Linked DNA regions of Nothobranchius furzeri. The protein of the gene in region 2 interacts with the protein of the main gene of each other region in a pairwise test. Links are inferred from orthologs where the notes say so. Each region holds a gene or a part of one and is shown on either strand. Other genes may lie near its edges. The genes, in order: reep6 and ptpn9a.

Region 1 (4,550 bases), on a different chromosome or scaffold from region 2:
ACGACCTAGCTCCTCCATATCTGTCCGACCTGCTGACTCCATATGTACCTACTCGTATGTTGAGGTCAGCTGACCGTCTACTGCTTTGCACTCCCCGGATGGCCTACAAATCACGAGGTGAACGTGAGTTTGTCCATGCTGCCCCCATGCTCTAGGACTCACTGCCCAGTACAGTCAGGCTGGCGTCCTCTCTGCCTGTTTTAAATGTCGTTTAAAAACCTACTTTTATGACTTGTCTTTTAGACAGTGATCCATGTCATCCTATTAGGATTTTATAGTTTTTATTGTTGTGTTTTATCGTCCTATTGTTTTTACTTTTGTTTTAATTGATCCTGCCTGTTCAGCACTTCGGTCAGCTCTCACGCTGTGTCTTAAACTGTGCTATAGAAATAACGTTGGCATGGTATGTTTACAGCCTGGTACCAGAACATGTTTTTGGTTTAAATGATCTAGTTTACACTCATGACAACTCTGAGGGGGGTGAATGTTTTTCTCACTCTTCTGTTTAAGTGTATTAAAAGTCTAAAATTCTGTATAATTAATGAGCCTCAGACCCACGTGACCACAGAGCTAGCTCCGTGGAAAGGCCTCAGTAGAGCCTCGGTCTCGCTTAAAAACTGTTCCGTCATTTTCCGTCTCTCAACTTAGACCATTAGTTGTAGCGTTTGTGTTCTTTTTTGGATATTTTTGTGCAATTGTTGGACAAAATGACTTGCTGTGGCATTAATTGCACTAATAGAGCGTCCAAGGAGTCTCCACTTCATTTTTTCGGTAAGTAAAATTATATTTATGTATTTTAGGTCACTGCCGAGCTGAGCTTAGATTTTAACATGTACTGTTTAACCATGACATTTAAATGTAATAGGGTAAAACCCAGTGCATTTAACATAATGCTGCACTTTAGAAAATGGGTTGAAATATAACATGTTGGTGGAGCTGGGTTCCCACTATCGGTATGGTCCCCTCCCCTCAGCGGCAGCTCGGCGCATCGCAGCGGCGCCTGTCTGCTGCGCGGCTGCCGGCTTGTGGAGCTCTCGGTTGGAAACCTCTGTGTTCCACCCGGTTTTACCCAGCGGTCAGCCTGGCACATCTCCGACTCAGAAGCTCCGGTGTTGTGCACAGTTTGCTAGGAAGCTACCTCTGTTAGCTTAGCTCCCCCCTCCGCGTTGGCTTTGGTTTAGCTTGTAGCTACATCACTGTTCGACGGGTGTCATCATTTGATCCCAGCCTTACAGCCCCACCTTCAGCTCCACCTCTTTTCCCTTTTATGGGATTGTCTGGGCGCGACGAGACGTGTGACACAATCAAAATGGCGGTGGTGGCCACCTCCCATTTCAAATTAAAAACTTCTCATACGAGCCTATGTACAGGAATCGTCCACTATATATATATATATATATATATATATATATATATATGTCGATGGTGTCAAGCTGGGAGGTATTGGGTCCCATTTTTTAAAAGTCTTTGGAATGACCCGATTGGGATTTGAACCCCCATCTCCCAATCCCAGGGCAGACACTAAAGTAAAAAAGGTAGCACAGTCAAATAAAAAAGTAGTTCACTGTAGGATAATTATTTGATGCTCTGAATGCTTTAGACAAAACAAATTTACTTAAATAATTGGTTGTTACAGAGAGCCAACTTCTCGATCGAGAGGAGCCAGTTAAGGTGGCTCGGGCATCTGCTTAGGATGCCTTCTGGACGCCTCCCTGGTGAGGTCCGACTGGGAGGAGATCTAAAGGAAGACCCAGGACACGCTGGAGGGACTATGTCTCTCTGCTGGCCAGGGAACGTCTCAGGATTCCCCCAGAGGAGCTGGCCCAAGTAGCTGGGGAGAGGGAAGGGTGGGCCTCCCAGTTAGACTACTGCCCCCGTGACCCATCCCCGAATAAGCGGGCCGAAAACGGATGGATGTTTGGTTGTTTGTTTGAAAGTTGTTAATAAAGGTTTTTATAAAAAGTAGCTCAGTGACCAGCATCCCTGCATGCATTGCGGTCGATCACGCAACACTCCCTTTTCCAGTTCAGCGATTATTTGCACACTTGTATACCGCACACTCGAAGCCTTACTGCACACTTCCTGCAAGTGCACTCTGCTTAGTAGACAGGGTTCAGAAGATTTCACAGATGTTTAGTAAGAATCAACAGGAGGAGAGGCTCCAGAGATGAATAAAAATGTTCAGGACAGCAGGACTTCATCTTGCTTGTCATCCCAGGAGTTTTCTAAGTTTGAGCAGAACGTTGTAGGGCACGGGCTGTAGCCAGAGCTCCTTAAAGGAAAAGCAGCTCACAAGACACTCCCGTAGTTTGGGATTTAAAACAGGAAGTGCATGATAAAGATTAGCCACTAAAATGTGGACTTCTGAAGCTGTGTCAGGATGGGACTCAGAGCCGAGTTGTAGGAAAATAAAGAGTTTCAGCCGCTTTAACTCCAGGACCTGCTGGGAACCTTCACCAGAACACGGTCTGGGGGAAGGCGGATCAACAAAAGGAAACGTCTAACGATGTCAAATTCAGAGGGTTTCTGTTTGAACCAAAACCAACAAACAGGAAATCAGATGCAACTGAAAGGAACATAAAAGTGAGATGAGGAGGCAGTTTAAAGTCCGATTATGCAGAATAATAAACAGAAGCTTTGGCTGCATCTCCTCACAGGAGGATTAACTGAATCCTCTTTTCTCGGACTCGTCCAGGCAGGTACCGTTGTGTCACACCTGGACAGAATCCACCCAGAACCACGGACACCTTTCATCACCTGAACACAGCAGGAGCTTCCTCACATACCCACAGCCAGGACCTTTTTCTTGATCCCCGTCTTTTCCTCCACCTTCCCCAGAAAATCCGTCACCACGTTCTTCTCGTTCAGAAACTTTTCTGCTCGGTCCTTGATGGAGGTGAGAACACCCAGCAGTCCCATGGTCTCCAACAACGTCCTCAAAGAGAAGCAGAGAGGAAAGGATCCTGGACCGGCAGCTGGCAGGTAGTAATCCTCTCACAGCAACAATCTGTTGTAATGAGGAGGTGGAGCGGTGAGGGAGGAGGTGCCTCGTGAGCATCCGTTAATCCCAAAATCATTCATTCAAAAGTCTCATTCTTAGATAGAAACATTAAAACTTCCCCCGATGATTATGTTATGGTTATATAGTTGTTTAAAGTTTCAGTCTTTGCCTTTTCTCCATTTCTCGTTTTTATTCTCCATCAAACACAAAACAGATTTACTCATCCTAAAGGCAAAGTTGTTCATATTTTTGAATCAGCATCTTGAAACAGTGAAATGTCACTCAGACCCCACCGCCCTCTGTGGCCAGGATACCTCAGAGTCCTGGGCCACCGCCTGTTGTGCTGCTGCCAGCATGTTTGTTTTAGATCATGGACACAGTTGTTTGTTTAATTTAGTGATGAATCACTCCTGTAGACACTAAAGAAGGCTGGGGAGACATTTCAGCTATTAGATTTGGGTGTTAAAAAGAAAAAGGCACAGCGAGGAGATTGGTTTCATTTTGGACCACAGATAATTAATAATGGACACTAGGGGGTGCTAAAAGCAAGAAAAACTGCAGAGTGTGCCCTTAAATGCCAGTTGTGCAGAAACAACACAAAACATCAAGGGGCCATGTAGGTTTTTTTAAACCTTAAATGGTTTTATTTATATATATATATATATATATATATATTTTTTTTTTTTTTTTTGGAGCACACTAGAACTACAGCTGGTAACTTTTACTTATAATGTGTTACAGTCATATCCCCATTCGCACATTCGGGTGCCTTCACAAGCATGTGAGAATGGCCTTGTTTGAGATGAGCGGCGCCTCGCCTGGAAAACAGGTGAGAGCAGACGGACGCAGCGGTGGGAGTGGCTAAAAGCCTGCGTTTAAGTGGGACAGGTTTCTCTACATGTAGCTTGCGGGTGACGATGGCTGAAGAAATCGCATTAGCGTTCATAATTGCGTAACCCTCTGGTGCCTGTTAGCAACTGAAACACATCCTCACATGCGTGTGGAGATCATGTGTTGTAGACATGTGCTTATGGAGACATGACTGTAACAATAAGTAAAGGTTAGCAGCTGTAGTTTTAGTGTGCTCATAGGAAACGTGACAAAAGAACGTAATCACATTTCTCTGTATGGCCTGTATAGTTGTCATCATCAACGTAACATGATTTACAGAATACATGTGACCAACTATCATTTAACGTTCCACCACAGGATGTTTGGATCAAAAGTCGGCGTTGAAGCTTCTTTCCGGAGTATTTCTCTTATCTGATGGCACCATCTAGTGGCTGACAAGCATATCACACAAAAAGTCTGTTCCTCTGTTTGTTTAAGATGGCGACTTCACGTTTCTGGTTATAAATGTGCTTCTGCAGCTGACAAACGGAGCTAAAACACGCTGTTTTACGAGTATTATTCTCATGTCATGTTGTGTTTTCATATATTTATATTTTAGAGACTTACTTGTCCGTGAAACGTTCATCAACTCTGCATCAGCCGAGGTATTCCTTAAATTTGAAGCACGTAAGCGGTAGTCTAACACAGTTGGTTAGCT
Region 2 (3,818 bases):
CACCGTTTTTACTGTTTTTTTAAGAGTCACAGAACGTTGCGCGCTAGCATGATGTCGATGCCAAAACAACCTAAACAAAGAGGAGACTCACCTCTTACATCAGGAAGAAGCCGTGTGTTTTGAGCGTTATCCGTTCTTTCATAATCCGTTGTCGAATTGTGATCGGCAGACGCTTTTCCGTTTCGCGCCTCACTTTTTTTACAGGAACGGCCCAAAACGATCTCCAAACACATGGATGGTCTGCTTCCTGATCATGTGATCTGTGATGTAGGCGGATGAAGATCGGCTTCAGGGCTGGGATGTTTGTTCTATCAGCGCGGGGGCTCGTTCCAATGCTCAAACAGTAAAAAATGCAAATGACGACTTTAGTCGTCATTGGCAGTGAATGAGTTAACTGTTCCCCTTAGATAGTGTCTCATTTGATGTGCACTGTCTCATTTATTGACCCATCTCCAGACTTCTTTTTATCTCTAAAGTACTGGAGAAGGTAACTTACTCTCAGTTGACCGAGTATTTAATGGGAAATTACATATTGGAAAATTGCCAGTCTGGTTTTAAAGCTGTATTCCTTAATTTGGAAAACAAATTAGCTTCAAATGTTTTTTTTATGCCTCTTACCAACATGCTAATGTAGCATAGCTATAAAGATATTGTGGAGTTTTAAAAAATACCAGAAAAAAATTAATAAAGTGGTTCTTTCGGATTTGTCTAAAAACCTCAACCAATCGTTGTTTTCAGTCCGAAAAATTAGGTCAGAGGGTGAATTTGAAGGTTATTTAACATTTTTAACTTGTGTACCCTGGCTTTGAGTAGTCTTTTAGAAAAGCTTCCACACCAAGTTTTATAAATGAAGCCCCAGATCTTCTGTCCTTCATGAACCAATTCAAATAAATCTATTACTTTGAAGTGTCTTCATGGAAGACTAGATAAACTCTGGAAACCTAGGGAATTACTAGCTGATGGTGCTAGTACTCCACCCTCATTCAAACCTTTAATGAAGTAACTTAGTTTTATCATTTAGAATTCAAACCGTGGGTCAGGCTAGGTGTTACTTATCTGTGGGTGTTTCCTGTTCCAGAAAGATTTAGCTCTGTACCTCCCATCACATTTGCACGCACACGCGCGGTAGCATTGATGCTTCACATCCTGCCATCTGACGTTGGACTTCTCCAGCCTCAGCAGCAGGATTCATATCCTGTCTGAGAGTATTTTTAGCTCTGGTGCTGGACAACAGGGACGGGCTTATTTACTGACAAACGACAGTTCTGGTGTGTCTTTGCTCAGAGGTTCTGACTCTCAGGATCCTTGCAGCCATTCTTTAGCTCAGCTAAGCCATTGCAGCCCATGGCCTTTTTTGTGGAATATAATCATTCCTCCTGCTGAAGTAGTTCACGGTCCTTTATGTTTTCTACAAAAACTGGAAAATGAGCTGAAGCGCCCCCTTGTGTTAAATTTTCAGGCTTTTTCTTCCTGAACAGAAACAGAAGCTGCTATCACAGCTGATAAATTCGGTTTAATGGAGTCACACTGACAGCAGGGACACTGATGAAAGGACTTTGTGTCATTCCAGAGCGTGCGTGACCCTTCAGGGGCATCCATCGCTTTGTACACAGCTAAACTTCATCATCCCAACAAGACGGGCAACCACGTGGTGCTACAGGCCCTCTTCTATCTCCTGGACCGGGCTGTTGAAAGGTGCTCTTTAACTTAATGCTGTGTCATCACTCATGTATTCAAAGGTATTGTGGGAAGTCCTTCGGTCGAGTTTGGTTACTGTTGAAGGTTTGTGCTCCTCAGCTTTGAGACCCAGAGGAACGGCCTGGTGTTCATCTACGACATGGCTGGCTCCAACTACACTAACTTTGAGCTTGACCTGAGCAAGAAGATCCTCAACTTACTGAAGGTGTGAGTCAAGTTGTAGAAGGAAACAGAAGCAACAACACGACATTGGAGATGAGTTAGTGTTAGAAGCTGTGTGAGCTTCCTGGGCCGCTACCTCCATGTTTGCTCTTTTTAAAGGGTTGATAGTATATGTGCAGTCAGTCAGCAGCAGATGAACTGGTCTCAGTTCCTTCTGTAGATACAAGACGGCACCAAGCAGGACTTGTTTATGGTCTGTTTGTGTTTTAAGACGACGATGGACAGATAAGAAAATCAGATTGATGTGTTTCTCTCGTTCCTGGATTTCTGATGCTATGATGAGCTGTGTTGTTTGTGTCCACCAGGGGGCGTTCCCTGCCAGGCTGAAGAAGGTGCTGATTGTTGGGGCTCCTGTTTGGTTCCGGGTCCCCTACAACCTGCTAAGCCTGCTCCTCAAAGAAAAACTCAGAGAGAGGGTAAGGGGAGCTGCACATTCTCGTCACACACCTCTGACAGATGGCCTGGAGGTTAACACAAGAAGATATTCACATTCAGTGACATTTGGGTGAAGTCTACCTGGGTTATGGATCTTTAAAGGGGGCAGGGCTGAAGGCACATAGTTCCTGATGGAACTACACTAGGGTGTTCTTGTGCACAGCTTATCATGCAGCAACATTCAGTGTGAGCTGATGCTTTCTGATTCCAGGTCCAGATGGTGAAGATGGCAGAGCTGCGTCTGCACCTCCCCAGAGACTGCCTCCCCCAGCACCTCGGTGGCCTGCTGCCTCTGGACTCATTCAGCTGGAACCAGCAGCTTCTGGCGGGTCAGAACGGCAGAGTGGACCCTGTTGACGAGCTGGTGGGAATCCCCCTGGAAGACTCATCCATCCACGTCCCGGGACCAGAGTCCATGCGGCCCCAGGAACTGCTGGCTCACCTTGGTAGGCTTCAGCGTTCAGGCATCCACCTGGAGTACGAGGAGCTGCGTAGAGAGGCGCCGCCTGGTACCTTCCACTACGCTCAGTGGGTTCAGACGCACATAAGGCGCTTCACATTAGCGTCGGTACGGTCGGGGTTTGGTGGGGCTAATCCCTGAGCCCATGGGCCCTGCGTTTAATACACACGGAAAAGTCTGCGGTGTCCTCCATAATTCAATTCAGTTCAGTTTTATTTATATAGCGCCAAATCACGACAAGAGTCGTCTCAAGGCACTTCACATAATAAACATTCCAATCCAGGTCCGTTCATTAAGCCAATCAGAAATAATGTTTCCTATATAAGGAACCCAGCAAATTGCATTCAAGTCACTGACTAGTGTCAGAGTCTTTACATCAATCCTCATACTAAGCAAGCATTTAGCGACAGTGGAGAGGAAAACCCCCTTTTAACAGGAAGAAACCTCCAGAGGATCCTAAGGTAAACAAAGGCGGACATGAGCTGTGCTGCTTTTGGAGACTGAATCACCTTATTTTATTTATTCGCTGTGTGTGTCCTCATGATCTTGTACCACACACACACACACACTGCTTTCCCCTATGAGCAGCTGCCTGTCGGCTCGCTGGGGTGAGAGCTCCGATGCAGAGGACAGGCACACACACAGCTCTCCCGTTCCCACTGAGCGGCCACTCCCTGCTACAGACAGAGGACTTTATTTAACAGCATCCAGCATGAAAATGAATGAACACCCCCCCCCCATCCACCCCAGTAGTGTCTCCTCGGCTCCAGTCGGACCGCTGGGGAGGAGGTCTGAAAAAGAAGTTGCCTCGAACTGGAAAACGCATATCTGACCCATTTGTGAAACCAAATTCCGGTTCTGTACCCGGCTGTGCCGACGCTAATGTGTAAGTGCCATTAGTCCCAACATTCACAACTGTTCTGCTCTAGATGATTCTGGTCGGCCATGTTGGTGTCAGTAATGACTTCCTAATGTTTTGTCTACAGAGCATCTTATAATCAGG

Evidence for each region.
Region 1: the proteins of ptpn9a (region 2) and reep6 interact in binary tests that used the Homo sapiens proteins (3 or more experiments, as listed by UniProt). The two-hybrid records come from large-scale screens. The link is inferred for Nothobranchius furzeri from reciprocal best matches to the Homo sapiens genes PTPN9 and REEP6.

What each region holds. Positions count from the first base shown.
Region 1 is NC_091748.1:78,702,271-78,706,820, forward strand, and holds the start of reep6 (receptor expression-enhancing protein 6), read right to left. Parts: upstream 2,920-4,550; coding exon 2,787-2,919; intron 1-2,786. UniProt on the Homo sapiens protein: Required for correct function and survival of retinal photoreceptors. Required for retinal development.
Region 2 is NC_091754.1:45,540,075-45,543,892, reverse strand, and holds part of ptpn9a (tyrosine-protein phosphatase non-receptor type 9), read left to right. Parts: intron 1-1,570; coding exon 1,571-1,695; intron 1,696-1,797; coding exon 1,798-1,903; intron 1,904-2,225; coding exon 2,226-2,336; intron 2,337-2,566; coding exon 2,567-2,883; intron 2,884-3,801; coding exon 3,802-3,818. UniProt on the Homo sapiens protein: Protein-tyrosine phosphatase that could participate in the transfer of hydrophobic ligands or in functions of the Golgi apparatus.